Pelodiscus sinensis: one gene and its partners. The protein of the gene in region 1 interacts with the protein of each later gene in a biochemical or structural test. Links are inferred from orthologs where the notes say so. Each region holds a gene or a part of one and is shown on either strand. Other genes may lie near its edges. The genes, in order: UBE2D2, SQSTM1, RNF14 and UBR5.

Region 1 (7,709 bases):
GAGGTGTCTGCTGAGAAAAGCCGCTCCGCGTCTCCCTGGTCTGCTGGGGGGAAGCAGCTAGTGCGGGGTTGCCTCACCCCGTTTGTAAGTAGGGATCCGATGTAAGTCGGATCCATGTAACCCGGGGACTGCCTGTATAAGGGTGTGTCTGCACTGTACCTGTAGCTTAAAATAAGCTATGCAATTTGAGCTACGCAAATTATGTAGCTTATTTCAAGTTTCAAAATTTGGCACTGTCTACAGACTACTCATTTGGAAATACATCGCTATTCCAAAACGTCCCTTACTCCTCGTGGAATGAGGTTTGCAGGGATGTTGGAACAGCAAACCCATTATGTCCAAATAATGGGCACAAGATGCAGAATAGCTATTTCAAGATACCTCTGGTATCTCTGTGTAGACATAGCCTAACTGTATGTTACCTGGCAACTTGCCGCTGGGTTAGAAACAGGCACTAATCACAAATGGATGTGTAGGATTAACCCCTACACATTGGCTGTGTTTACACTGGCAAGTTAGTCCAGAAAATCAGCCGCTTTTCCGGAAAAACTTGCCAGCTGTCTACACTGGCCACTTGAATTTCCGGAAAAGCACTGATGATCTAATGTAAAATCATCAGTGCTTTTCCGGAAAAACTATGCTGCTCCCATTCGGGCAAAAGTCTTTTTCCGGAAAACTGTTTCGGAAAAGGGCCAGTGTACACAGCACAGTAGTGTTTTCCACAAAAAAACCTCGATCACGAAAATGACGATCGGGGCTTTTTTGCGGAAAAGCGTGTCTAGATTGGCCACGAACGCTTTTCCGGAAAAAGTGCTTTTCCGGAAAAGCGTCCTGCCAATCTAGACGCGCTTTTCCGAAAATGCTTTTAACGGAAAACTTTTCCGTTAAAAGCATTTCCGGAAAATCATGCCAGTGTAGACGTAGCCATACTGTAAACCCTATCCTGGGCAAATCCTTGAAGCATTATATCTGGCTCAGAGATCTCGGAGTTCTGCCTTTTTTAGAAGTTTGGCAACATTTGCACGGTGTGTCATACCCAACAAGTGTTCTGCATTTGACTCAGTGTTTGTATGCAGTCTTGTAGCTGTGTTAGTCCCAGGGTATTAGCAAAACAAAGGGAGTAACAATTTCTTTGGACAAACTTCTGTTGGCGAGACAAGTTTTGAGGTACAGAGCTCTCTGGGAAAAGTTCAGTGTCACAACTAAATACAAGATTAAATGAATAAATTAGTCCAAATTGTTTAGCACATATTCTAAGGGACAATTCAAGGTGAAGTGGCCTGTTAACACCCGTGTAGGGCCAAAAATAAAGTGTGCAGGGGGAGGGGCTAGCAGGTTTCAGATTGTGCAATAAACCATAAGCCTGGTATCTTTATTAAGAACATACCTTTTAGTATTTAGCAAAGTTATGACTTTTAAGATCCCAGACTCATCTTCTGAAAGTACTGTGCAGGTTTCTTTTGAGGATGAGGACTGATAGGTCAGATATGGAGGGATCACTTTGTGATAAACGTTCACCCATAGGTAATCCAGTGTTTTTCTGACTTTTATCGTTTTCTTATGTGAGCTCACTTGAGAACTTAGTGATTGGTGTCATGTAATACAGTGGATAAAGTACACCACATGTTGAGATTGGCACATGTAGGGCCCATGGACCTTGAAAGGTATGTTGAGGGGGGTATTGATCATTACAGTGGTGTTGATATGTTGGTTCTGCATCTGTATTGGCAGGGTTGGCGGGGAGCTTGTGTCTCATGATGATCTTAGAGATGTTGGGGGTGTTTTAAGGAGGAAGGTTCAGGAAAGATTTCCTTCAGGATAGGGTCCCCAGTGAATATGTCTTGTACTTGTTACAACCCCATCCTGAAAGGATGTTGAACATTTAACCTGGATTGTATTAGGGAGAGTGCAACTAAGGAAGTTTCCACATTGTTTTGTCCAACCCTCCCAATTTTGTGTCAGCAAGAGTAGATTACATGCCAATGATTCATCTACCAGCTCACTTGAACTAATGAGCCATTTCCTCAGCTTTGGGTCTCCAGATGGCTTGAATCGTCACAGAGGATCCTTGCTAAGGGAAATGTCTTTTTCCTGAAGTGCCATGGTGGCTTCCTTGCAGAAGTACACCGCTAGAACAAGTAGTGACTGGATTGCACACCCCTAATCAGAAAGCATATGAAACCGAGGGGTAAGACCAATAAAGCAAGTTGATTTTGTTCTTTTCCTTACTCAAAGGTAGTGACTCGTATTATTATTATACTCCAAATGGGTAATAAGTCATGATGAAGATTTCCACTGTTATTAGTGATGAAGTGCTGGGAACACATAACTGTTGCTGCATAATCAGTTTAAAAAAAATCAGATACTTCCAGCTAAGCAGCTGGTTAAATAGTTGGAATTGCTGTTTTTATTTCTACCCAGCACATGACAAAGCTGAGGAAAATGCCTAGCAGCACTTTCTACATTTTCAGCTGGACTTTCTCGGCCTTGTGCTAACTGGCTGTGTTCTCCCTCACTCTTCACCAATCCTGCTTTTCTGCAGCCTGCCCCAATCCCCACAATTCCCTTCACTTTTCCTTTAGCTTATCCCTGCCTAAGTAAACGCACTCCCCCACAAAAATCATAGAACATGACACTTGCTGCAATCACTTTGTGTGCATCTTGTGTATTTAGAGTGTTAGCTCTTCAGAGCAGGAATTGACTACTATTCTGTGTTCACACAATGCCGCTAGCCCTAGGCATTGCTGTAATAAACCTGATGAATTACTGTTCAAAAGTACATGTAGAATGACAGCTGCGAACAATTTGTCAGAAAACTGGGTGCCATAATTCTGTATTTTACAGCTCAAACTTTGCCACGAACTTGTCCCTTCATGTGCTCAACTACATGATTTTTCACTGTGTTCTTTAGCTGGATCAAATGTGCACGCAACTCATCTTAAACTATTTTCAAATGCTGTTACATGGTACACTATGTGCAAGGCACCAAATGTACATCAAAGATGGCAAGAAGAGGAAAGGTGGGAAAAGCATCAGCACAGGGTTAAGGTACAACTCAAAGATCTATTCTTCCAGATACTTAGCATACTTTCTTGCCACACAACTGCAATCTGGAAAAAAAGGTAGCTTCTCAGGCTGGTCTGCGTGGTGACAGGATTCCTTCTTGATCCTACTGAAGGATCATCTAACACCATGGGGGAATATAGGAGACGGATTATTATAGCGGCGCCTTTAGCACATGAAAACAGAATCTCCTCCGTCACCCCCAACTAGGGCCTTTCAGTACTGCCTCTAGCGCAGACTGTGTACTTTCACTGGGTTAGCCTTTGTGCAGATAGCCAATACTCCAAGAGGCCTCCAACTTCTCCTTTCACCCAAACTTTCAGAGAAAGTCCTTTCTATCTCTCTTGCCTGTGGCTTAGATCACAATGTGGGTCACCACACAGGAAGGCAGAGTCTGAGACTTAGCATTCCCAGCCCTTTAGGGGTAGGCCAAAGTGCACCTAACCTTGCCCACTCCCAGGAGTAGGAAACCCAGGGCATAGGTATTAACTCAGGGAGTTATAGCAGGGGCATGGCCCCCAATTGGGGAGGGGGGGAAGAGAGGAGGGGAGAGAGGAGGGCAACACAGGGCTCTAGGAGAGAGAAGGGCGGCAAGGAGGGGACAGCACAGAGCCCCAGAGGAGAGGAAGGGCAGTATGGGGCCCTCAGGGGAGGGGGGAAGGACCGCACAGGGGGCACCATCCCCCAAGGAAGGGGAGACCCGAGTAGCGTGAGGGGGGTGCTCCAGGGGCAGCACAGGCCCCCAGGGGGTGACACGCGGGGCACTGTGGTGTCGGGGGGGGGGGGTACAGGCTCCCGAAAGGCCAGGAGAGCACGGAGGGGGGCTTCAGAGGGAGGGGAGGATCCGGGCCCCGGGGTGAGGGCAGGACGGGGGGGGGAAGGAATGGGAGGGGGAGAGCAGGACGGGGGGGGAGGGGAGGATCCGGGCCCCGGGGTGAGGGCAGGACGGGGGGGGGAAGGAATGGGAGGGGGAGAGCAGGACGGGGGGGGAGGGGAGGATCCGGGCCCCGGGGTGAGGGCAGGATGGGGGGGGAGGGGAGTGTCCGGGCCCTAGGGGTGGGGGGAGGACGAGGGGGGAGGGGATGGGAGGGGGAGGACAGGACGGGGGGAGGGGAGTGTCCGGGCCCTAGGGGTGGGGGGAGGACAAGCCCCTGGGGGGGGGAAGAGGCCCGGGGGGGGGCCCACAGGCTCCGCCCTCTCCGAGCAGCACCGGGCCCGACGCGGAACCTCCCGACGCTCCCCCCCCCCCCGCGCAGCCGCACTAGGCCTTCCTTCTACTCTACCTCTCCCGGAACCTCTTTCTTTCTCTTCTCGCGAGAAGTTATTTCACTCCCCCTCCCTGAATCGTATCCCTCCGCTTCTCCGGACCCCTTTCTGGAGAGTTCTGTGTGTAAGGAGAATGGGAAAATAGTCCTTCGTGCCCGAGCGGGCCCCATCACCAGGTGCTGCTCCCCCTCCGCCCGGCTGCCCCGCTGGTGACTACTGGGATGGTGGCGGAGTGATACGGCCTCGGAGGCGGCAGCGCATAAAGGCCCCGCGGAGTGATGCGGTAGCAGCTGCGGCAGCGAGCAAGAGCCCAGCGGCCGCCGGGGGGAACAGAGAGCGAGGCCCGACCGCCGCCCCGAGACTCCGCCGCGCCGCGCCCCTCCCCCCGCGAAATAATCCCGAGCGAGCCCCCCGCACCGGGCCCCTCACACAATGGCGCTGAAGAGAATCCACAAGGTAAGGGCCGCGCGCCCCCCCGTGTGCCGGGCAGGGGGGCCCGCCCCCCCTTACGTAACCGCGCGGCCCGGGGCCTCTCTTTGTTGCGGGGCCGGCAGGTGCGTTCGGGCCCCGCGGCCTCCTGGCGAGGGCCGGGCCGGGCGGGGCGGCGAGCGGGTGACACGGGCCGGGGGAAAGCGAAAGCGGGGAACCCGCGGGGGGGGGGGGCTGGGCCTTCCCGCCGGGCCCGGCGCACGAGCCCGCTTGCTGCCTGTAACGCCGGGCAGCACAAGGCAGGGGCAGGGCTCGGCCGGGCCGCAGCGCGGGCTCCGCTCGGAGGAGTCCAGGTGGGGGGTCTGGGGTCACACCCGGGGCAGGGAGCCTCGGAGTCAGAAGGGGCTCTGGGGGGTTTGGGGGGTTTGGGGTCACACCCGGGGCAGGGAGCCTCGGAGTCAGAAGGGGGCCTGGGGGGTTTGGGGGTCACACCCGGGGCAGGGAGCCTCGGAGTCAGAAGGGGGCTCTGGGGGGTTTGGGGGTCACACCCGGGGCAGGGAGCCTCGGAGTCAGAAGGGGGCTCTGGGGGGTTTGGGGGTCACACCCGGGGCAGGGAGCCTCGGAGTCAGAAGGGGGCTCTGGGGGGTTTGGGGGTCACACCCGGGGCAGGGAGCCTCGGAGTCAGAAGGGGCTCTGGGGGGTTTGGGGTCACACCCGGGGCAGGGAGCCTCGGAGTCAGAAGGGGCTCTGGGGGGTTTGGGGGTCACACCCGGGGCAGGGAGCCTCGGAGTCAGAAGGGGGCTCTGGGGGGTCTGGGGTCACACCCGGGGCAGGGAGCCTCGGAGTCAGAAGGGGGCCTGGGGGCTCTGGGGGGTTTGGGGGTCACACCCGGGGCAGGGAGCCTCGGAGTCAGAAGGGGCTCTGGGGGGTTTGGGGGTCACACCCGGGGCAGGGAGCCTCGGAGTCAGAAGGGGCTCTGGGGGGTTTGGGGGTCACACCCGGGGCAGGGAGCCTCGGAGTCAGAGGGGGCTCTGGGGGGTTTGGGGTCACACCCGGGGCAGGGAGCCTCGGAGTCAGAAGGGGGCTCTGGGGGGTTTGGGGGTCACACCCGGGGCAGGGAGCCTCGGAGTCAGAAGGGGGCTCTGGGGGGTTTGGGGGTCACACCCGGGGCAGGGAGCCTCGGAGTCAGAAGGGGGCTCTGGGGGGTTTGGGGGTCACACCCGGGGCAGGGAGCCTCGGAGTCAGAAGGGGGCTCTGGGGGGTTTGGGGGTCACACCCGGGGCAGGGAGCCTCGGAGTCAGAAGGGGGCCTGGGGTTTTTGGGGTCACACCCGGGGCAGGGAGCCTGTTAGGATCTGAGGGAAGCCTCAAAACTTCTCCCTCCTCCATGTCCGTTGTTGCCCAGGAGTTCTCTTTTGCGGCCTTTTTTTTTTTTTTTGTAGGAGTTGCCATCTAACCCTGAAATGCAGGAAGTCCTCCTCAAGTGCAAGCTGGCTTTTATTTAACTTCAGTGTTGTGTATGGCAACTTAATAGGCACATGTACTTGAGCTTCTAGCTGAGGGAAAAATACCAAGTAAGAATTTTAAACCTAGAGAGGTGATGAGCAACCCAGGCTAGTGAATGGGCTTCATGAGTGGCCCTCCTCAATCTCAGTGGACTGCAAGATTGTCATAACCATACAGTTTCCCGGGATAGGGTAGTCTTGCTAACTGTGCTTGTGTACCTAGAATTTCTGGAGTGTGCCAGTTGAATCATAGCAGTGGTTTCATTGGATGCAGAGGGAGCATAGAGCTCTCATAGTCAACATGTGGCATCAACACACACTTCAGTTTGCATACATATCACTTCAGTAACAATAGGAAAATAAAATGTTTTGTAGGCCACACACAGAATCCTAATGGGCTGCAGATTGCCCACCACTGTTCTAGGGAAAGCCTTAATTGATCATCTTACTCTGCGTAAACATTCTGGGTCCATCCAATTTGGTTTAGTATCTGAAGCTACCGTGTATGAGATTCGTGTATTTTGATGGGCAGGCCTACTAAAGTCTCCTAATCTATTCTTCCCTTTTTAATCTGTTATGCCATTACAGGTTGAACCTCTCTAGTCTGGCACTGTCCAGTCCAGCAACATCTGTGGTATGGCATAATGTTAGCTGGATGTTCACTTATCGTGGGTGTGGCCGAGTTTTTTTTTTTTTTTTTTTTTTTTTTTCCATGGTCCATAACGTTTGTTTACAGCCATCGGTCCCTATGTCAACTTGCTGTGCTGTGGTTTAGCTCTAATTTACCCCTACATGTCTTCTGAGAATCCTGTAAGCAATGGAAGTATTGGTAATCTGCTGGGCAATATTGACTTCCCGTGATTGGGCAGGTTCTCTGGTTTGGCACCACTCACGTCCCAAGGGTACCAGACTAGAGAGGTTCAACCTGTATTGGCATCACCGATTAAACTCTTAACTGTTAGTGGAGGGTGAAGTGATCATAGATGTCAGATATTCAGCAGCTCATGATCTTACAATGTCATTATTATATGGTACATCTCAGTACATAGTTATTTAACGTATTTGCAGGAAAATGCACCTAAAAATCTTGTCCTTGCAGGCTAAAAATGTTTATAAACTCTTGTCTCCTAGTCTTTTTGCATGAGACCATCAGTTTCTCTTTTACTCTGGAAAGTGTTACAAGAAATTCTTAAGTAGTCATCCTCATAGTTCATAATAAATATTGGCAAGGGACAGCTGTCCAAAAGTAGACTCTTGAGGAATCTTTTGCCAACCTACTTAGTGCGCCACTTGTTTGGCAGACTATTCCAAAACAAGATCCAGCCTGGATTACTGACTTTTGAGTTCAAACCCCATGTGTGTATCCTTCCTGAGTGTTTTCAAGTGTGGATTACTTGTTTAGATTCTCCAACAAAAGTTGGATAAAAGGTACAATCGGTGACTGGAG
Region 2 (7,882 bases), about 31 Mb from region 1:
AAACAGTGTGAGGATCTTTGTATGGCTGGTGGACATTCTGTTTTTATTTTGTGGATAAACAGAAGACTTCAGTCTCCCATAATATTAAGTCAGTAACTTTTACCAACACTGTCAAATAATTCCAAATTTAAATGACGTAAACAAGGGAGGGCTAGTGGATTATATCTTTGTTTTGACCACAAACCCTTTCATGTTTAGGATCATTAGCCCCATCATGTACCTATATTCACAAACCTAGTAAAATGTTTCATTACAGACACAGCACTATTTACCTGGTCATGGGTTTAAACAGTAACTCGTCATTTCAAAATGGATCAGTGGCCATAAAACATTATTACCAAGCAATTCAAGTGGTTCTTCTGAAGATGAAAAGGAACAATTCTGTCTACTATAAACATAAAATATTCTTTAAATAAATAACATCATAATTATTTAAAAATTAAACTTGTGTTCATTGATTAACCAGGAAGCTAAATATACTGCCGAGTCTAAAATATGTCTCTCAAATAAAAAAAAAATCTTATTAAAAAATAAATGAATCTTTTCCTTAACCCTCAAGAACTTTTAATTCATGACAAGGCCTCTCAAGATTTCTCATTATGTTAGGTTAAGAAGTATGTCACTAAAAATCAGGGCAACAGGCCCTTAAAGTGAAACGATATTAATACCAACTGGGAACCTACTACTCATTGATCCATCTTTAATTACACTTGGAAGGTTCAGACAGCTCTTCTGCCAGCTGGATTCTTATCTGACCTGATTAAGAGTCCTGTCAACTGCATCTGATCTGCAAATATTGCTGCCAACAAATTTGGAAAGCCCACAAGCATCCTTCTTAATGTCAGCAAGCATCTATTTTTAAGTCTCAAAAACCCAGATCCAGGAGAGATTATTAGCATGATTACTTAACTGTATGTACTAAGAGGAGGGCAGGCATATGCTACCTATTGAGTATGAGGTAAATCTTGTGAATTGACACATTCACCTTTTGATTATCAAAGAGCATAGATTTTGGAACCCCATTCAGCAACCACTCCTGCCTAACATTGCTCAGTCTATAACATTATGGAAGCAACACAACTAGTCAGGACTAGACTAAAGGATCTTAAATGCCATGTTTGCCATAGAATGAGGTACAGTAACACTACTGTGTCTCAGTGCTGCAGGTCCTGGGATAGCATATTGTGGTATAGCAGAAGTTATACAGTCATGTCTCCATGCCAGAGGTTCTTGGACGTTGTGTTGTAAAATAACAGAAGCATGTTCCTGAATGATGCACAGATGTTGTTGGCTACGTCTAGACTGGCATGATTTTTCGCAAATGCTTTTAACAGAAAAGTTTTTCCGTTAAAAGTATTTGCGGAAATGAGCGTCTAGATTGGCACGGACGCTTTTGCGCAAAAGCACTTTTTGCGGAAAAGCGTCCGTGCCAATCTAGACATGGTTTTGCACAAGAAAGCCCCGATCACCATTTTTGCCATCGGGGCTTTTTTGCGCAAAGCACTTTTTAGCTGTCTACACTGGCCCTCCTGCGCAAATACAGCTGCTTTTGCGGAAAAACTTGCCAGTCTAGACGCAGCCGTTGTGTTTAACTAATCATGTTTAAAACCACTGACAGCCCTCAAATATCAAAACCAACTGGCATTTACTGGAGAGTGCTGAAAATTTGTTAAAGCACTTTCAGGTGAACTGAATCTTATTTCCACTACATAGAAAGCTGGAGACATTAAATATTATCTGTCATGTCTCACTGCCTTTCAGTTATTTTTCTTATTATACAGCTTTGTATTGTGATTAAAAACAAAACAAAACAGAAAACCTTCATGTTTGTTTCCTGTTACACTTTTAGAACTATTCATTCTTTTGTGCTGGAAAACAGATTTCCTCAGCACATCCATTGCCAAAAGTGGACTAGATGAAATCTTGAAGGTAGCATGGAGTTAAAAGTCCTGTTAAAGTAGAAACAAGTTAAAAGAAACTGCTGGGGTTTTTTTTTGTTTTGTTTTTTTAGAAGAGGCAAAAAAGACTGGGGGTGGAAAGAGTAAAAGAGGAGAAATATAAGAGACAACCAGAAAGAGGGGGGAACACACAAGAGATCTAAAGGGATGAAAAGGCACTTGATGAAAAATAATATGTCTGCAATTCTAATGTGCAGATTTCTGAATCTTGCAACCGTGTCTCACTCCCTGCTGGTTTGCAAAACACTTCAGGGAGTCCAACGCACAGCAGAATCTGTATTATATTACTTTTTGTGATGAGTATAATGGATTAAATAGCAAACACAAACTGTCCTTAACTGTAACTGTCTCCAGTTTCATCAACAACAGACTTAGGATGGTTAGTAATTTGTACAAGAAAATAAGGTAGTGTCACAAAAGGTAATAGCTGTTTAAAATGCATTTCTTTAGAGCAGTACACATCTGTATTGTATTTGTATAGCCCCTAGTATCATGGGGCCTCAGTTCTGACTGGGTTCTTTGGATGCTGCACATATAACTATGTGTTAACTCTTGTTACTGACGTTATAGATTAAAACTATTTTAAATAAAACGTTTTTATCAAATGACATCTTTCTAAACTGTACTTTAGACATTGGTTTCATTTCAGTCTCAAGCTCTGTGGATCTTTCTGGCCGTCCCTGCAGCCAGGGGCAAGCAACATGGTCTGTGGCCCTTGGGGAGGCCTGTACCCCCACCCAGAACGACTGGTGGGTGGCTAGTGCCCCGCAGGCCTGCCTCCCCTCCATCTCTGACAGCAGCAGAGGGGGAAAGTGCTGAGTCACGGTGACTGCAGGCTTTCACAAGGCCGCTTCCTTGCGTGCTTTCTCCACCTACTTGGGATCAGGTGCCACTACCTGCCAGTGCCAAGCCCTACGTACCCCCTTCGTCCCATCCCCACCCACCTGCCACGCCCTTGCCGCCGCCACCGCCTTCCCCCCCCATCTCTTCAGGCTCCAGCTCCTTCAATCCACAGACGAATCCCCCATCTACCCCCCCAGCATCTCCTCCTCGGGCTCCCCCCCCACTCTAAACCGGCTCCCCCCATTCTAAACCACCCCTCCCGCCTCCCTCCTCTAAACTGGCTCCCCCCATTCTAAACCGCCCCCCCCGCTCCCCTACTCTAAACCGGCTCCCCCCATTCTAAACCGCCCCCCCCCACTCCCCTACTCTAAACCGCCCCCCCACTCCCCTACTCTAAACCGCCCCCCCCGCTCCCCTACTCTAAACCGGCTCCCCCCATTCTAAACCGCCCCCCCCCACTCCCCTACTCTAAACCGGCTCCCCCCATTCTAAACCGCCCCCCCCGCTCCCCTACTCTAAACCGGCTCCCCCCATTCTAAACCGCCCCCCCCGCCTCCCTCCTCTAAACTGGCTCCCCCCATTCTAAACCGCCCCCCCCCCCGCTCCCCTACTCTAAACCGGCTCCCCCCATTCTAAACCGCCCCCCCCACTCCCCTACTCTAAACCGCCCCCCCCGCTCCCCTACTCTAAACCGCCCCCCCCCCGCTCCCCTACTCTAAACCGGCTCCCCCCATTCTAAACCGCCCCCCCCACTCCCCTACTCTAAACCGCCCCCCCGCTCCCCTACTCTAAACCGCCCCCCCCGCTCCCCTACTCTAAACCGGCTCCCCCCATTCTAAACCGCCCCCCCCCGCCTCCCTCCTCTAAACTGGCTCCCCCCATTCTAAACCGCCCCCCCCGCTCCCCTACTCTAAACCGGCTCCCCCCATTCTAAACCGCCCCCCCCGCTCCCCTACTCTAAACCGGCTCCCCCCATTCTAAACCGCCCCCCCCCACTCCCCTACTCTAAACCGGCTCCCCCCATTCTAAACCGCCCCCCCCCGCTCCCCTACTCTAAACCGGCTCCCCCCATTCTAAACCGCCCCCCCCGCCTCCCTCCTCTAAACTGGCTCCCCCCATTCTAAACCGCCCCCCCCCCCGCTCCCCTACTCTAAACCGGCTCCCCCCATTCTAAACCGCCCCCCCCACTCCCCTACTCTAAACCGCCCCCCCCGCTCCCCTACTCTAAACCGCCCCCCCCCCCGCTCCCCTACTCTAAACCGGCTCCCCCCATTCTAAACCGCCCCCCCCACTCCCCTACTCTAAACCGCCCCCCCGCTCCCCTACTCTAAACCGCCCCCCCCGCTCCCCTACTCTAAACCGGCTCCCCCCATTCTAAACCGCCCCCCCCCGCCTCCCTCCTCTAAACTGGCTCCCCCCATTCTACACCGCCCCCCCCGCTCCCCTACTCTAAACCGGCTCCCCCCATTCTAAACCGCCCCCCCCGCTCCCCTACTCTAAACCGCCCCCCCCCGCTCCCCTACTCTAAACCGCCCCCCCCCCGCTCCCCTACTCTAAACCGGCTCCCCCCATTCTAAACCGCCCCGCCCCCCCGCCTCCTCAGCCTCCAGACCCCGCCCCGAATCTAGCCCCCCCGCGCCCGGGCGCTGAGAAGGTGCCTGAGCCGCGCCCCGCCCTGCCTTCCCCCTAGCGGGGCGCCCAGGGGCGGGGACTTTCCCGGCGCAGGCCCGGCCTCCCGCGGTATAAGGGGAGCGGCCGGGCGGAGGGAGCTCAGGCCCGCGCCGCGCTCTGCCCAGCCCCAGCCGCCCGCCGCCGCCCATTGCTGCTGCGCCACAGCCCGCCCGCCCGCCATGGCCGCGCTGACGGTGAAGGCCTTTCTGCTGGGCAAGGAGGGGGTGGTCCGCGAGATCCGCCGCTTCGCGCTCCCGCCGCCCGCCCGCTACCAGGACGTGCGCGACAAGGTCGGCGAGATCTTCCCCGCGCCGCTGCGCGACGGCGCCTTCCTGCTGCACTACAAGGGTGAGCGCCGCGGGCCCGGCTGTGGCCAGGCTCGATCCGCGGCTCTTTTCCGCCCCTGAGCTGTGCGAGCCCGTAGGGAGACCGCCCCGGTGCATGCTGCGGGCTGGGCAGAATCGCGGCCTGATGCCTGCCCCACACCCGGCTGCTCCGGGGGGGGACAAGACTCCTAGACTCGAAGGGACCATTATGATCATCTAGTCCCACCCCCTGCCCAATGCAGGCCGCAGAATCGCACCCACCCTCTCCTGGAATAGGCCTCTCCCCTCTCGCTCACATATTGGTCTGAGGAAGTGGGTCTGGCCCACGAAAGCTCGTCATCTAATAAGCCATCTTGTTAGTCTCTAAAGGGCTACATAGCCCTGTATATTGAAGTCCTGAAATGGTCTAAGGACCCCAAGATGCAGAGAGGACAGCAGACTAGCTCTGGGAACAATGCGCTAGGCTGCCCTTTTGCCTCCAGGGCTTCTCTTTTCTGTACCTCTGTAAATGCCTACGGCTTGGTCTACAGCACTACACACACATGTGGGTATAACTGCTTCGCTCAGGCCCCTGGATTTTCCATCCCAGAGGTCGGCTTAATGGCAGTATTAACACTCCATCCCTTCCCTGTACACAACACATTGTGGACTGTTGCCATAGCAATCATTTCCCACGGAGGTGTATTCACTACCCCATGGGAATATAGTAGTGTTTTCACCAAATGCTACAATGGCATAGCTGCACTGCTGCAGCACTGGGGGTGAAGACCAGCCTTGGAAAGAAAGCACATACAGTGAGCCTCATTTTAGCTCAAATTTTAGCTCAAATTACAGAAAGAAAAGTTCTTGCTACTTCCTGCCAACCCCTTCATTAACATAAATTGAAGTTCAGTGTTATACAGTATCATCTCATACTTTATTCGTATTATTAGTTTCTAGACTAGCTCATTGAGGAGACTTTCACATTTCTCCCCTTTAAATTATCATTCATGCAGTAACTCTATTCTGTTCAAAGACCAAGATATTTCAATGCCAAATATTTAGTTCTTAAAGATCATACACTCCAACGTGACTGTTTTTCTGCGGGTGATATTTAACTCTAGTTTATTGGAAAATTGCTTCCTTGTCAGATTTTTCTCTGTTCTCACTACTGCCAGTTTTTAACAAGAACACATATAGCTCTGCAGCATAGCTTCTCCATAGTACTGCAGACATAGTAAAATTATTTAAACATACACTCCATTCTGTAACTATTGCTGAAGTGGCTTGTGTCTTTAAAACTATACCTCTCTGCAAATGTGGTGGTTTGTAAGCAGAAGATAGTTTGGTAGGGAAGAAACTACTTAAGTAGAGGGGCAAGGTGGGAGAGAGTTTTTATGCTGATAATCTGGGGTTGATAGGACTAAAACAACACTGCATACAACTCTCAAGTAGGTTAGATTTCTTTCCCATCTAAGTTATTTGTTGTTATAGAACTCTAAGCAAAAGAGGAGAGTAAAACTAAGTGCCATTTTGAAATGAGGATAGTTAATCAACCCTTTTATTTCTCTCTCAAAACTGGAAGGGACATCCAGTCCAGTCCTCTGCCCTCATGGCAGGTACCATCCCTGACAGATTTGCCCCAGATCCCTAAATGGCTCCCTCAAGGATTGAATTTACAACCCTGGGTTTTAGCAAGCCAATGCTCAAACCACTGAGCTACCCCTCTCCCCAACAGTTCTAATATCAAAGCAGTAAGGTGTTGCTTGATTGTTAGTCTCTATTATTTGCAAAATACTTAAGACAAACTACATATTTCACTTTGTTTTCATAAAGACTTACTTTCATCTCTTCCTGATTGTCACTTATATCCAATTTATTAATCTGTCTTCTTCAGATGAAGATGGCGACATGATTGCCTTTTCCGGTGAAGAAGAATTCAAGATGGCTCTGCCATATGTGAAGGATGGCATTTTTCGTATTTACATCAAAGGTAATCTTTAGTTTTGTGGTGGTAAAGAGGCTCTCAAAAGAGAAGCAAGGCTGACTTTGTGTTTCTGTAATGGGTAACTGCGTATGGCAGAGGTAGTACTTAAAGAGTCCCTGAGAAAGTGTGTGATGCAGAGTACACCCTAATTGCTTCAGGAGCACATGTCTCTGCTACAAGGATGGCACTCTGCTACAGGTCCCTTGAGGGCAGATTGAATAAAATATAGAACAAGTGTTTATAGGCTTGGAGGAATTCTATTCTGTTGTGCTGAGAGGGAAACAAACTAGAAAATCCAGTCAAATAAATTCAAGGAAATTGTATTACAAAGTTCAAACTTCTAGAGTTACTTTAAGAAAAAAACATGTCTGGACTAGCACTAACCACAAATTAAGAGGTATACAATTTCATTCTTTAAATATTATGTAATTAGGGTATTTAAATCCTGACTTTCAGTTTTATTAGTATTTTAGCATGCCTCATAGTAGCCCTCTGGTTGAAGTCAGTGCTCCATATGTATCTCTTCTTTCCTCACATAATTTTGAAGATTGACACATCCACAGTTTGTAGATTTACAGTCTGTGTAACCATGTGTTTTACTGCTCCTTGTCTTCCCTTCCCATCTGTTAATCTAAGTTTAGAGAAAACAAGGGTTTATCTGAAGAATTTACATTGTTCCAGACATCGTTGTCTTACTGTAGTCATATGGAGCACAAACTTGATGGGTCTTGGTACTGTCATGATACAAGTTAAGGAATGTTAACAGACTGGAAGTTGTCAGGCTGATGAAGTGGAGAAAAGTTATCCATTCACAGCCTTAATTAAATGTAAACAGTGGCTGTGTCTACACTGCACCCCTTTTCCGGAAAAGGGATGCAGATTAGACACTTTAGAATAGCGAATAGAATAGATTAGACGCTTTTTTTCCGGCAGCCATGTTAATGCAAATACCGTGGAGGATATTTAAATCCCCTGCGGATTTTGCTATTCCCATGTGATACATTAGCATCCCTTTTCCGGAAGGGATGCCAGTGTAGACATAGCCAGTCAGTTTTGGCTGAGATGACTTTAAGAAATTGCAATATATTCAGCATGGCACACTATTTAATCTGATCCAG
Region 3 (7,472 bases), about 21 Mb from region 1:
GCTGATCGCCATATTTGGGGTCAGGAAGGAATTTTCCTCCAGGGTAGATTGGCAGAGGCCCTGGAGGTTTTTCGCCTTCCTCTGTAGCATTGGGCACAGATCACAGCTGAAGGACTCTCTGCATGTTGGGGCCTTCAAAGTATTTGAAGGCTTCAATATCTGAGATATAGGTGAGAGGATTATTCTAAGAGGGGTGGGCGAGATTCTGTGGCCTGCACTGTGCAGGGGGTCAGACTAGATGATCATAATGGTCCCTTCTGACCTTAAAGTCTATGAGTCTATGAGTCTATGAAGCAAAGGCACCTCTCTGAGTTAATACCCACTTCACAGACTGTGAAGCTTAAAAGAGATACAATTAAAAACAGAATTAAACATAATTTCAAGTCCCTCGGCCAAAAGTTTAAAAGTGTGTGTTTGTTACTTGTTATTCCCGTAGCCAAATTTGGCCTATACAAACAAGGAAAACAGAATTATTGCATATGGGAACCAATGAAGCTAACTACACACGCACTATTGTGTCCAATATAGAATTCAATGCCCTGAACAAATACAAAATAATATTTTCTCAAAGTTGACACTTACAGTAATGCTCAGTGTTACCTGTGATAGTAAGCAATATTTCTTTAAAACATTTTAAAAATGATAATGTACTTTATCTAATATTTCAAAACTCAAGAGTCTTGGGTGAAAGGCACTACAAAAATGCAATGCAATGCAAAAACACACTAGATGGACATGAAAGTAACTCAAATATCTACATCAATTTGCTTCTAGAGTCCCCCATGGAATAACGTAATGTATGACAAATTGTTCCTGACTTTGATGTTTCACGAAAATAAAATAAAAATGTTTGGGGAGCCACCTTTGGAATATATGTATGAAAATATAAAGTATTTTTTTTATAAAAAATCATTTTAGAATAATGAAAAACATCTGGACTCACCACTCACAAATATTTTGAAATTTTGGGGCAACTCCAGACAAATTCTTGTTTCTCCTCCTTGGGCAGAGTCTGCCCTCTTAAATTCATCTTCATCATAAATACTAGCTAATGCCAGCAGCTCATCCTCCTGAGCTTCCTTATCTTCTGAAGACATTTAACTTTTCTGCAGAATTAAGAAACCAACCAAAAAAATCAAGGACTAAATAGACAATTTGAATGGTCTGTGTGTGTGCGTATATATATAAATGTCACTGAAATGAAAATAAAAAAAACCACAATAGCACAACATAAAAACATACCATACATAATTACTCTTTTTCTTCCAGTTACAGATCCCACACATGCTCTATCATTTGTTGGCAGTTTTAAAGTTCTAAAAAATGGCTCTCTTCAAAACCCAGATAATCAGAGACTAACTCTTAGAAAGTCAACGGCTGAAGAACACTATAGAATGAAATATGTAAGGCAGTGCTAATAGTATCAAGGTTACACTTTATTCATTTGATGAGATGGAAATCGGAGACTGAAGAAAGAAAAAAAATGACAGCTTATGTAGCTGTACCCAGGCTATCTTTAAATAACTTACTAAAGAAGGAAGCGAGGATGTAATAGTGGGCAGCCCAAGACCATTATGGTCCCCTGGCTATGTGCCTGCACTACCAGCCCACACTGCCTTGTTAAACTATCTAGCTAGATGAAAGATAGTGCAGGTACCTCTCTACACTAGGGTTGCAAAAGTTTAACCATTTAACTGGTGGGGCTGGAGCAGCTCTCCACCTGCCACGGGCCGGAGACTACTCCAGCCTTGCAGGGGCTGCTCTGTCCAGGACACCAAAAATTAGCCCTCCAAAAAATCCCTTCCATTGAAGTATTGTCTACATTACAGAAGCACAGATGTACAGCATACATGGATTCAGACTCCTGCAACACTTAGTGCTTGTCTTTGCTGCAGTTAAGACTTAGTTATAACTCAAGTATTGCCCCTAATCCAATACCTGACCACACACAAAAATCTTAAGTGCAGTGACACTTTGAACTCAGGTTGGCTGGCTGGTCAGGGGAGTGCAGACTGCAGCTCAACTACAACAATCCCTCAGCTTCTCTCACAATTGTTTGGAGGCAAATCAAATAATATTTCCAGTTCCCAGTGTGCCCACTCTTGCTGGAACACTTAACTTTAGCCTGGGCAGCTTGAGTTAACACCACAGAGTCCACTAACTCCAGACCAGTGTCAAACACATAATGCTCAACACCCAGGGCAGTAATACTCCAAGTGTGGTCCATGACCATCTTGCAGGTGGGCCACAGGCTCCTCCCCTGCAGTGGTGGTCCAGTCCCACAGTCTTCCTTGAGAGGTTGGAGTGCCAGCACCGGCTTCCCACTTTGCAGGGTGGAGGAGAACCTCCCAGGCCAGATCTGGCTTGTGAAGGAAGTGGCTCCACATTCTGCCACTCGGTGTTCCCTCTAGCCAGGGAAACAGCAGTGCAGGAAACAGCTCACCTGGAAGCTTTCCCTGCTGCTCCCATTGACTGGAATCACAACCAATTGAAGCAGTGGGGGCATGAAGCCAGGTAAACACTAAGGATGTTAAATATCCTGTAATTGAACAGTCGTGTAAACACATGAAATCTTATCATTACATGACTGACTAGTCGATAGTCCCCGGGGCCAGGGCTGGCAGCCAGTATATTCCAAGGAGCCTCCTGCCAGCCTCTGATAGACAGCAATGCAGGGTGGCAGGCAGGAGCTAGAAGCACAGAAGGGAGAGTGGGTAGCAGGTGGCACCGGGGAGCTGGTGCTGGGGAAGGGGGGAAAATGGGATTTTAAGGAAGCAACAGGGGGGGAGGGGCAGGTAGGTCCAGGGAGCTGACACACGCAGGGAGCCTGCTTGAAAGCGGGGTCCTCGCAAGTATCAGCCCCAGCCTAGCCCCTTCGGGCCGCTGCCTCCATCAGAAGTGGGGGCGGCAGACGGGTCCAGGGCTCTGGCCCGCACAGGGACAGGGCTGCGAGGGAAGGGGAAGCGCCTGAAAGGAGACGCCGGCCTGGCACGGGCGCTCCCACGGGACTTTAGGAGAGAAGCGTCAGGCCCCGGATTCTTAGACACTTTCCCAGGCAGCCCCGCCCTTCCCCTCAGGGCTGCCCGGCTCCAGTCGCCTCAGCACCCCCGTCTCCCGCGCATTGCCAGCGCCGGGCCCCGGCCGAGCTACGGACCGCGAGCCTCCTGGTCCCCGCTCTCACCTGGGCCCGGGCGGCCTCCACCGCTTGTCCGCCCCTCCCCGCACGGCCGGGCCCAAGAGCGGCCCCGGTGAGCTCTAAGCAGCGCTGCCAGGAGCCAGCGCCCCCTGCCGGAGGGAGGAGGGCCCTGCGGAGCGGGACGGGGGAGTGGCTGGTCAGCGGGCCGCGCGGACAAGAGGAGAGGAAGGTCTGAGCGGCGCCCGTCTACGTCCAGCCGAGGCGCAGACGCGTGGGAGCCCAGCCTGGCTTTCCCGAGGCTGCGAGCCCTGGCAGCTCCAGCGCTGGAGAGTGCGGGGTGTGTTCGCCGCCGCCTGGCCCCCAGCACGTGCTCTAGGTGCTAAGCGTGCGGGGACCGGAGGAGAAAGCACGTCCTAGAGCAGAAGCAACTTCGCCTACCAAAAACCTGCCTGCAGCAAGAGCCATGACTGCCTTTTAAACGAGGCTGCAGGGAGCCTCAGTGGGTGTGGGCCAGCCCAGTGAGCAGCCACATCACCACGCCTCTTCTTTCAAAATAATGGGCTTATTTCAAATTAACACTGCTGCTTGTATTTCAAAGAGTTATTTGGGGAGGTACTGAGGGGTTAGTATAGACTAGTAATGGCAGTGCGGACCAGTGCTCCCTTTAAGATTTTTCCAACTGTGAGAAGAATGAGTTTTGGCTTGTGCATCAATATTGAGGTTTGGCTGGGCACCACCATGACTATGCTGACCATACGGCCCAGAAAATCTGGAAGAGTCCCAAATTTTAATTGCCTGTCCAGGTGCCCCATAAAACACTGAAAACATCCCAGAAATGGCAGCATAGCTACACGTGGCTGCACTTTTCTGTTTCTTCTCCTGGGGAAAACAGGTGTGCAGGGACTTTTGCACAGATTTTTCCTGCTGCGCTGGAACCTAGCCAAAGCAGCAGGAGGCAGCACCTGACTTCTGGTGCTCTGGCAGGAAGGCAGTTCTTGCCTGCTGCTGCTTTACCAGCATGACTCCTAGGTGGCCCCCTTTGCTGCCTTTTAAACTTTGAAGGAGGAATAAGAGATCCTCCGGAAAAGGGCTTTATTCCAGAGGATCGCACCAGTCTAGATGCTTTTTTCTGGCTTTTCTCCAAGCCGGAAAAAAGCGGTGGACATCTTTATTTAAACCCCCCGCAGATTTCCCTATTCTGAAGTTGAAAATTAGCATGCCCCTTTCGGAAAAGGGGCCAGTGTAGACGTAGCCATAATGAACTAAGTTATACTGTTTTAAATGCCACTAATGATAGATCTCTATTTTAGAAAACTTAACAGCCAATAGTCTGCAGGACCTCAGACTACATCTACACAACAGAGCTATTTCAGGCTACTTCTGGTATTGTCAAAATACCACTATTTCAAAATTAAATTCAAAATGATCTTATTTGGAGGCATAAATTGTGTAGCTTAAATCAAGGTAAGGGTATATTTTTATGCATCCTTAGACTAACAAAAATGTAGATGATTCATCTGAAGGAGTGGTTGTGCCCACAAGAGCTCATGATACCATCTACATTTTTATTAGTCTCTGGGGCTCTGTCTACACTCACGGCTTCTTGGGCAAGTATGACTGTTCTTGCGCAAGAATCTGCAGAGCCTTTACGCTGCCCGCACGCTCTTGCGCAAGGAAATTTACAGTATGGTGTGGTAAGAGGGCTTCTTGCGCAAGAGCTATGCTCCTTAACAGGTGTAAGCCCCCTTGCGCAGGAGCTCTTGTGCAAGAGGGCAGTGTGGACACTCAGCAGGGATTTCTTGCACAAGAAAGCCCTATGGCTAAAATGGCCATCGGAGCTTTCTTGTGCAAGAGAGCATCCACACTGCCATGGGAGCTCTTGTGCAAAAGCATAGCATGCACATGGCAGTGTGGACATTTTCTTGCACAAGAACCCTTGCGCAAGATGTTCTTGCGCAAGAAGCCGCGAGTGTAGACATAGCCTAAAGGTGCCACAGGACTATTTGCTGTTTAAGTTTCTTGAAACTTTATTTTGGAAAAATCACTAAAGGTGAAAAAAGCAATCCCATCAGATACTGCAAATTCACAGGGCCTTGTGTAAATTCAAAACTTGTGTCACAGGAATCAATACCTTTTATTGAACCTTACCCACCTTGTGTGTGTCAAACCAAAAACTGCTTAAATTCTCACAGGCAAGAAATTGCATTTTAACATTGTTAAACTTTTTTTAAAAATCAGTTACTTTAACCTATTATTCCAAAACTTGGAGGAAGCATGTTTATGCCCTTCAATGCAGAATTTAAAAAAAGGGAATTTCGTTTAATTATAATTCCATTTACTTCAAAATGACAAACGAAGCATTTCAGGGATGATGATTGCAAATAAGTGATAGATTCAAAGTTGGTAAATAAGTATCCATCACCATCACAACTCAAGCAATGCTGTTCTCCTTTTAATTCTGGTTCTCCTAATTCAGTTCCTTATGTAATCTTGCCTATCAAACTGTAAACTCTTCCTAGGAAGGACTTAACTTTACTGATAGTTTAACAAGCTAGTCTAACTGGAAAAATGTAACAATAAATAGTCTAGCAGCACTAAAGACTAACAAACATGTAGGTGATATCATGAGCTTTTGTTGTACCCACAAAAGCTCATACCACCATTTACATGTTTTGTTAGTCTTTAAGGTGCTGCTAGATTTTAAGTTTTGATAGTTTACACATTTAAGAAATTGTGGCCTCTTTTTGAAAAATACTTTTTGCATTGGTTGAAATACTAACTTGATGAGTAACATTGCTTGTTGCCTGTGTTAGCTCCACCATGGGCGGGAGGGGGAAGAGGAGATGGAGAAGGGTGATGGAGAGAATCAAATGGAGCATAATCTGTAGGTTGGTTTCTCTTCAGAGTACACAATGTATCCAGGATTTCAGTCACAACTGTAACTTAAAATGTACTTCAAATTTTGAATCCAATTATACTGATCTTTCAAAAATATAGCATCCACTACGCTAGCCACATGTGGCCATTTGGCTGGTTGAGTGTGGCTTGTTTGTAAAAGCAATAGAACTGGTTGCACACCACAGATATAGAGCAAGTTCTCAAAAATAAGACATCCCTTACCCACACACTATCAGAAGCAAAAGGAAATCAGAACTATCTGGAGGAGACAAGACAACTATAGCCTGAACAAAGTTACAAAAATAGCCAGCCTTTGCACAAGAGCTGTTATGTTTGATGATAGCTTGGTCTGGCTATCATTTGTACAGCTGACTCAAGAATAACTAAGGCCATATTTTATGATCAGATAAATTAAAGGTATCTGTTCTTCTAACAGCTAGTACCAGCAAAAGACACACTGAAATCAAATTTGAATTCACGCAAGGTTGACTCCAGCAACTGAGAAGCCACATCCCATTAGAGACAAATAACAGTTTATGATAAGTTGTTAACTATTCTGAAGCAAAGCATAGTATCTAATACCATCAATATGAGCAATGTAAAGCAAGGATGCAGCCAGTGATCTTCTGTGTTTTAGATAATTGTTTGAAATTCCCCTATTATACTGACCTTACACACCTATGGCTACTTAACATTTGCTGAATCTTCATATATCAATGGGATTCCATCCTCAAACAAGCTTTTTGAAAAACAGGAAGTATAGTTAATTGGTGGAACTAGAGGATGGAAAGGGAAGAGGTGTATGATACCACAGGTTTCCAGTACTTTCACTGAAGGATGAGTGGGATTATAGGAGTGTTAGTGGTGTAACTAGAGCTAGCACTGAAGTAATTCAAGCTAAACTGATGAAGGCTGATGAGTCCTAACATTAGCTCAGAGATCATTTGGAGCAGTACTTGTAATGTTTCACAGTAGGCCGTATAGCACTTTTTCTTAAAATGTTTCCAGTACTTGAAATGGGTGCTGCAAATACTATGAATTACGAGTTCTGGGAGCTTCTTGTGAACAGGCACTGTACAGGAAATATTGCAAAACTGGTATTATCATTTAACAGCAGGTTAATTAGCCACAACCATTTACCTTAAGATATTAAGATGTATACCATTTCTGATACCCCATAAAATTGATTTAATTGAGCTATAGTAGAAGCACAATGTTCTAATTAATTTATTATAGGAACACAAATTCTTTCATTTGTCTGGAAAGAGCAAATGAGCAGATTGTACACACTGCAACTTCTTGTTCCTTCAAATACATCCCTGTGGCAAATAAATTGATTAGTGACAGACCTCAATTCTATCACCAACCTAAATTGTAACAGTTACCTTGGCCACAGTTGACAATTAAAAAAAAATAACCCAGTACAATCCAGTGAATT
Region 4 (7,172 bases), on another chromosome or scaffold:
ATTCTACCATGCATACGAGGTTCTTTGCTTACATCTCCTTTCCACATTCCTCCTCTCCCACCATAGCAGGATCCCAGATCCAACACTCCAAAAGGGGCTGTGTGTTTCTCCTCTTTCCCCTCTCATTTCCAGTGTTCCCCATTCACCCCACTCCCAAGGTTTGTGCTCAAATGCCTATTCCTCCACTGTTATTTTCCGTTGTCTGGTAGGAAAGTAATTAACATCTTAATACCTTGAAACTCTACTGGGAGGACACATGGAGATGAGCCAGATACTGTTATGCTGGAAGGCACATCTCCTGTCATTTTGAAATTGACCAGATATGATATTCAAACCATACTGCATTCCAGAGAAATGCAGATTACAGGCAGTCCCCGGGTTACGTACAAGATAGGGACTGTAGGTTTGTTCTTAAGTTCAATCTGTATGTAAGTCGGAACTGGCATCCAGATTCAGCCGCTGCTGAAACTGACCACCAGATCTGACTTACATACAGATTCAACTTAAGAACCCCAGGCGTCCCCAAGTCAGCTGCTGCTGAAACTGATCAGCAGCTGATTCCACGAAGCCTGGGGCAGAGTAACTCTGCCTCGGGCTTCCTGTAGTCAGCGCTGGTCAGTTTCAGCAGCGGCTGACTTGGGGACGCCTGGGGCAGAGCAGCTGGGGTGCTGCTGGGTTGCTCCAGTAGCACCGCTCCTCACTCCCTGGTGCTACTGGACCAACCCAGCAGCACCCCAGCTGCTCTGCCCCAGGCGTCCTGATTCAGCCACTGCTGAAACTGACCAGCAGCGGCTGAATCAGGACCTGGGGCAGAGCAGCTGGGGTGCTGCCGGGTTGGTCCAGTAGTGCCCAGAGCGGCGCTGCAGGACCAATCGGCAGCGCCCCAGCTGCTCTGCCCCAGGGTCCACAACAAAAGCCTAGCTGCGCCCCCCCCCCCCCCCAGCAGACCAGGGACACGGGGAGCAGAGCCGCAGCAGCAGCGGGGTGCCGCGCCTCTGAGACTTTGCCAGAGCAAAGCCTCAGAAGCGCGGGAACCCGCCGCTGCTGCGGCTTCAGTCCTGGTGCCCCTGGTCTGCTGGAGACGGTCTCCAGCAGACCAGGGGCACCGGGAGCAGCTTACAAACGGGGCTTTCTCGCCCCAGAGCTCGCAGGCAGCAATCCGCCACCTCGACTTCCGGGGCGAGAAAGCCCCGTTCGTAAGTGCGGATCCGACATAAGTCGGATCCGCGTAAGTCGGGGACTGCCTGTAGTTGAATGCAAGGCCTCTGAAAGCTTAGCCAAAAACAAGACAGGTAAGGTGTAAGACAAATCTGGAGTGTTACTTCAATATACTTGAACCAAGGTTGGTAATTACTTGTTCAACAATGGCCTCATCATATTTTTGAAAAAGATGCTGGTGCTTTCAAGATCAAAAATCTTCATAAACCAAAAGTTAGGTGAAGAAATGGAAATATCCCATCATAGTATTAGTGCTCACAATTTTCCTCCTGCTGGAAGCAGATGCATACCATATGTGAAGGCATTACTGCAAAGGAGGTCAATCTCCCAACAGTAGTTAGGCTGCCTCCTTTGAGAAGCACATGACGAACAGTGCCTTATAAGATGTGTCACCAGGTCACCCAAAAAATTTACACCCAACTAGCAAGAGTTAAGTCACAGGCCTGTTTTATCACTACAACTCTCTCCTCTGTTTAAGAACAAAGATGGAGAAGTTTGGGTGAAATATCATCCTTCCAATGACTTACTTTGCTCATTGTTAACATTATAAGCCCTTGAATTGCAGATGTAGTTTAATGGAGAAGTATTTCGGCCCCCACCCCTCTTTTCTTGCTGCAAATTACTCAGTGAGACAACATAATGGAAGTTTTCTAGACCTATATTCAAATCTGGGAGGCTGCAAAAGACAGAAATAAATATCCAAAGGCTCTCACAGCCTGTTCAGAAACAAGTTTATTTAGATTTCCACCCTATAACTAAAATCTAGGTCTTCTGTATTATTAACCACAGATAATTTGACAGTGAATTAATATAAACTGAGAATTTATCAGTTCAGAATCTATTAAGATTTTATATTGTGAAATTTACTAACTGCAGAAAACTATTAATGACTACAAAAGAAGATATCAACAGAAGAATCTGAAAATGTCTCACACCTCGAGATTTAAATAAAATGTTTCCTTCTTTCCCCAGACTAGTATAGTTTCTTCACAACCTATGTTTATCACTGCATAATCTTAACTATAACTGGAAGATTTCCAAACATCACATTTAAAGATGCAATGTGTTTCCATGCCTCTTTCTCTTCCCTGCAATAGTGCTCAATAGTGAGCACTTTACAGAACAACCCCTTTCAAACTAAAGGCCTAAAACCAAGTCCTTATACTTTCCTCACGCTTCCACTGTATCTTCCATGATATGCAATTCCAACTACAGTGTCTGTCAATTCATCGTTGATTTGTATGGACAAATTCCTACTCCTCCTCAGCCTCCCTCCAGGAGTAATTAGAACCCACTTCTCACATGAGAAGCCTGGTACAGCCCCAGTGTCTCCTGGCCAGAAAAAGCTGGGCGGAGAGACACGGGGACTCACTCTCAAAAGTCACGATCCCCCCCGGGACCCAGAGTTTGCAGTCTCGGGGGACTATCAGGAAACGACCATGCTTTGAACGTGCAGCCCAGACGCGTCCCCGGGCCCAAAGAGGGCAGGGACATCACCCACAGCAAATGGCTGCGGGGAGGGGGCTCGGATACATCAGACCCCGTGCAGAGAAGCGGGACTCTTCCCCTCCCAAGCCCACCGGCCCGCAGACACGCTCACGGCTTCCCTGCCCGCCGCCCAGCCACCCGCCTCTCTCTGGCCGCCAGACACATGGGCCCGCCCCTCCCTCCCATGTCCCCCAGGGGCCGGGCCGCGCCCCTCCCCTCTCCGTCCCCCTCACCCACGTGGGCCTCCCCTCACCGGTCATTGAGCTGGTCCTCGGTGCCCGGCAGCGGGTGCACCACGAAGTGGATCGATGTCATGTTGCGCTCCCCCCCCAGAGGCGGGCAGAGGCCGGGCACACAATGGAGGCGGGGGAGGGGGAAGCTCGGCGTCTCTCTCGGGGCGGTGGGGGCGCTCGCGCTCGCGAGCAGCGTCCTTCCCTCCCCACAGCGATCCGACGCAGAGTGGGGCGCGGGGGCCCGCGGCGGCAGGGTCAGGAAGAGACTCGCACCGCGCCGCACTCACACACGCGCCGCCATCTTAACTTCCAGCGGCCCCTTCTCCCTCCCTCCTTGCGCCGCGCCGGGGTGGGGCGGGGCGCCCGCTGAGCGACCGCGATGTAAGCTGCACGCTTACTGGCGCGCGCAAGGCCTATCGGCGGTGTGGCTGTAAGGAAGTGGCGGATTGGGCTAGCGAGCCCGTAAAGCGCGACTACGTCGGACGCAAATTACATCAAGGCCACGTGCTCCTGGGAGAAGCTGGGGGCGGGGAAGCGCGTATGGGGGGGGTTGCGGCGCGCTGCCCGCTCTGGGGAGGCGTCTGCGTGTCGCGGCCCGGCTCGCGATGGCGGATGGGAGACTCGGGCCTCCGCGGCTGCCTGTGGCCTCTTGCCGCTCCCTGCCTGGGCCTGAGCCGCCTGGGGGGCGGAGCTGGGCGGCGGGGAGACCTCAGGGGCCCAGGCCGGCGGCGGCTGGAGGCATGAGAGCGTGCGGGCCGTGAGGGGGCGGCGTCCAGCCTCACGCTGCTGTCCGGCTACCGGGCTCGGCTGGGGCCCCTGACCGCCGGGCGAGGGGCGTTGGCGGCGGGTCCGGCTTCAGCAGGTTCATTGCCACTGACAGCCGCAGGCTGGAGTGGGCCAGGTCTGAAGTGGGTTTTGCCCAGGAAAGCTCATGATTCTCTCTAGCTAGAGACTGGCTCTAAAGCGCCACGGGGCCACTTCTCGTTCTTACAGTCGTGCTGGTAGCCAGCTAACCAGTGCGTACAGGAGTACAGCCCCTGACAGGCCAACGGGCTCCAGAACAGGCCTATGCCATCGTGGGGGGTCTTGAAGACTTTTTTGACTAACAGGGTGGCAGGGATGAATACCTTTCCTTGCCCTAAGCAGCTGTGTAGACTGTTTAACCTTGTTTCAGTTGCCTGAGGAGGGGGAGATACTCAAACAACTGAACTGGTGTTAAAAACCATTCACAGGTGCTGGAGGGGAATAAAGGTAACTTGACTATGGATTTAGCCTGATACATTTGCCTTTGGGTCAGCATGTAGAAAGCTTATTGTTGCAGTATATACAGTTCGTAGGGATAAGTAATGGTAGTTTGCAAAGCAAGCAAGAGGGCTATTTCACTAGCACTAAGCTACATTAAATAAGACTTCCCCTCCCCACAATTACAAACTAGTGCATACTCACATGCACTACCTTGTCATATATCGGAAAGCATTTATTTAAAATATTTATACTAACACGCTGGAAAACTGAAATTTAGTTAAAGTTTCATGCTGGGTTTATTTAATTGATCATATTTCTACATATTGAATAATGTCAGTGAACGGCTGCAAAACCATGGGTTTTTTAAAAGTCTAGGAACTTCCTTAATGGAATAAACGTGGTCTACTAGTCTAGTATAATGTTTTCAAAGCCTCCAGAGCAAATTGTTTTGGACTTGTGATCTAAGAATCCTGCATTGTTCACTTGTGATGGGGAGATCTGACATAGGTCTCAGCCTGGTCAGTTAGTTATTGATTTAAGCCTTAAAGCACAAGCTTTAATATACTGGTCAAAAATTGACTTTAGAGATAACAAGGTAGTCTTGCTCTATGTGAGAAATATTGTCATTTGTGCATATTTTTTTAAAAAGCTTCCTCAGTCACTTTAGCAAGAGTTATAAAAATGTCTTTATAAAACTAAGTTTTATTCAACTCTCCTTAACATTTTATCTACACAGTGATTATAACTGTCTTGGGAAATAGTTATAACACCGGTCAAAATTAAATTAGTGAATCACTTGCTAACAATATTTTCAAAAGATTCAGTAATGGCAGATAAGGTCAATTTCTTAATAGGATATACAGGCAGTCCCCGACTTACGCGGATCCGCACTTACGAATTGCTACCTGCGAGCTCCGGGGCGAGAGAGCCCCGTTCGTAAGCTGCTCTGGTGCCCCTGGTCTCCAGCAGACCAGGGGCACCGGGCGGGTTCCCGCGCTTCTGAGGCTCTGCCAGAGCAAAGCCTCAGAAGCACGGGGAACCGGCCGCTGCTGCCGCTTCAGTCCAGGTGCCTGTGGTCTGCTGGGGACCGTCCCCAGCAGACCACAGGCACCGGGACTGAAGCCGCACCCGTGGCGGGGTCCCTCGCCTCGCTGCCGCTGCGGCTCTGCTCCCGGTGTCCCTGGTCTGCTGGGGGGGGGGAGCGGCTAGTGTGCCCCCCCCCCAGCAGACCAGGCTTTTGTTTTGGACCCTGGAGCAGAGCAGCTGGGGCGCTACCGATTGGTCCTGCAGCGCCGCTCTGGGCACTACTGGACCAACCCGGCAGCACCCCAGCTGCTCTGCCCCAGGTCCTGATTCAGCCGCTGCTGGTCAGTTTCAGCAGTGGCTGAATCAGGACGCCTGGGGCAGAGCAGCTGGGGTGCTGCTGGGTTGGTCCAGTAGCGCCAAGGAGCGGTGCTACTGGAGCAACCCAGCAGCACCCCAGCTGCTCTGCCCCAGGCGTCCCCAAGTCAGCCGCTGCTGAAACTGACCAGCGCTGACTACAGGAAGCCCAAGGCAGAGTTGCTCTGCCCCAGGCTTCCTGGAATCAGTGCTGATCAGTTTCAGCAGCAGCTGGCTTGGGGTTCTTAAGTTGAATCTGTATGTAAGTCAGAACTGGCGGTCAGTTTCAGCAGCGGCTGAATCTGGACGCCAGTTCCAACTTACATACGGATTCAACTTAAGAACAAACCTACAGTCCCTATCTTGTACGTAACCTGGGGACTGCCTGTATACTGCCACAATATTTCCTATTCACTAAGTTGTAGTAAGTGATTCTGAAACAGATCGCTAAAAGAGTTCCTAAAACTGAACATTTCTGAAGCATTGATAAAGCAATCCTAGTGGAGTCTGTGGTTTGGTTTTTCCTTCAGTAATGTCACCTTAAAGAGCAATCTTGGTTTCACATTAGTTTTCCTCTTTCCCTTTCTCCACCCTTTTCTCAGCACAGGAGGGAAATTCCATTTTTGTCACACACACACACCCCACATTGAAGGGTTCCTCTCCCTTTAAGGAGAGGGTGGGAAGGAAATGTAGCAAATGGAAGACTATAAAAAGGAAGTACAGTGCACTTGATCACTTTTTAGAGCAGCATTTCCCAAACTATGGGCTGCGGCCTGTTACTGGGATGCGGGAAAAAAATACCGGGCCTCAGCGTGCCTGGTGGCTGCTGGCAGGGCCAGCCCTAGGTCGAATTGGGGCCCGCGCCCTTGAACCCGGAAGTGCTGGCGAGTTACAGAGCTGAGGGCCCTGCTCCACCAATATGTGGAGCTGGGTCTCTTTCCCCCGGCTCTGCCTGGAGCAGGCCCAGGCCCCTCCCTGCCATGCCTGGCTCCTCCTTGCCAGCTGCTGCTGCCCATGTGCAGTGTTGCCCGTGGGCGGGGAGGATGCCTGGGTGTGACGTAACGTCACGGGCTGGGATTTTAAAACTTCTCAGAGGCACATTGCAGGGCTGCCTCTGGGTTTGGCCTCCAGGGCCTGAGAGCGGCCCCTGGCCCCGCAACGTGGAAGGCAGATGGCAGGAAACTGGCTTGTGCGGCGGTGGGGGGGAAGGAGAGGGTCTTGGGAGGGGAAGACACCAAGGGACAGGGTGCAGGAGAGACAAATGCCAGGGGGCTAATTACAGACAATGACGGAAAGGGCAGGAGGGGAGGTGTTGGGGGGGGGCAGGGTGATGCTGGGAGAGGAGAGGGCAAGGGCATTGGGGACTGAAGGGGGAGGTGCTGGGAGAAGGCTTGAAAGAAGGGGTGGGCATGAGAAAGGTGGGGATGGAGCAAGGCATGTGTGAGGGCACAGAGGAGCAGGAGGGGAAAAGGGCAGAAAGGGCAAAGGGGGCAGGGGCAGTAAGGGAAGGGGGAGGCACCAAAGTTGAGTTGCCCTAGCTCATCCCTGAGAAGTGTCTATCTAACCTGGTCTTAAATACCTCCAGTGATGGAGATTCTGCAATCTCAC

The links.
Region 2: of the proteins of UBE2D2 (region 1) and SQSTM1, one has a biochemical effect on the other in vitro, tested with the Homo sapiens proteins (2 studies listed by BioGRID, with this or other methods). The link is inferred for Pelodiscus sinensis from reciprocal best matches to the Homo sapiens genes UBE2D2 and SQSTM1.
Region 3: the proteins of UBE2D2 (region 1) and RNF14 form a complex in vitro, tested with the Homo sapiens proteins (2 studies listed by BioGRID). The link is inferred for Pelodiscus sinensis from reciprocal best matches to the Homo sapiens genes UBE2D2 and RNF14.
Region 4: the proteins of UBE2D2 (region 1) and UBR5 form a complex in vitro, tested with the Homo sapiens proteins (12 studies listed by BioGRID, with this or other methods). The link is inferred for Pelodiscus sinensis from reciprocal best matches to the Homo sapiens genes UBE2D2 and UBR5.

Annotation. Positions count from the first base shown.
Region 1 is NC_134727.1:3,052,235-3,059,943, reverse strand, and holds the start of UBE2D2 (ubiquitin-conjugating enzyme E2 D2), read left to right. Parts: upstream 1-4,437; 5' UTR 4,438-4,761; coding exon 4,762-4,785; intron 4,786-7,709.
Region 2 is NC_134727.1:34,414,655-34,422,536, forward strand, and holds the start of SQSTM1 (sequestosome-1), read left to right. Parts: upstream 1-4,537; 5' UTR 4,538-4,651; coding exon 4,652-4,820; intron 4,821-6,674; coding exon 6,675-6,770; intron 6,771-7,882. UniProt on the Homo sapiens protein: Molecular adapter required for selective macroautophagy (aggrephagy) by acting as a bridge between polyubiquitinated proteins and autophagosomes.
Region 3 is NC_134727.1:24,328,213-24,335,684, forward strand, and holds the start of RNF14 (E3 ubiquitin-protein ligase RNF14), read right to left. Parts: upstream 3,340-7,472; 5' UTR 3,182-3,339; intron 3,079-3,181; exon of another isoform or gene 2,444-3,078; intron 1,107-2,443; 5' UTR 1,098-1,106; coding exon 944-1,097; intron 1-943. UniProt on the Homo sapiens protein: E3 ubiquitin-protein ligase that plays a key role in the RNF14-RNF25 translation quality control pathway, a pathway that takes place when a ribosome has stalled during translation, and which promotes ubiquitination and degradation of translation factors on stalled ribosomes.
Region 4 is NC_134712.1:34,237,483-34,244,654, reverse strand, and holds the start of UBR5 (E3 ubiquitin-protein ligase UBR5), read right to left. Parts: upstream 3,283-7,172; 5' UTR 3,022-3,282; coding exon 2,960-3,021; intron 1-2,959. UniProt on the Homo sapiens protein: E3 ubiquitin-protein ligase involved in different protein quality control pathways in the cytoplasm and nucleus. Mainly acts as a ubiquitin chain elongator that extends pre-ubiquitinated substrates.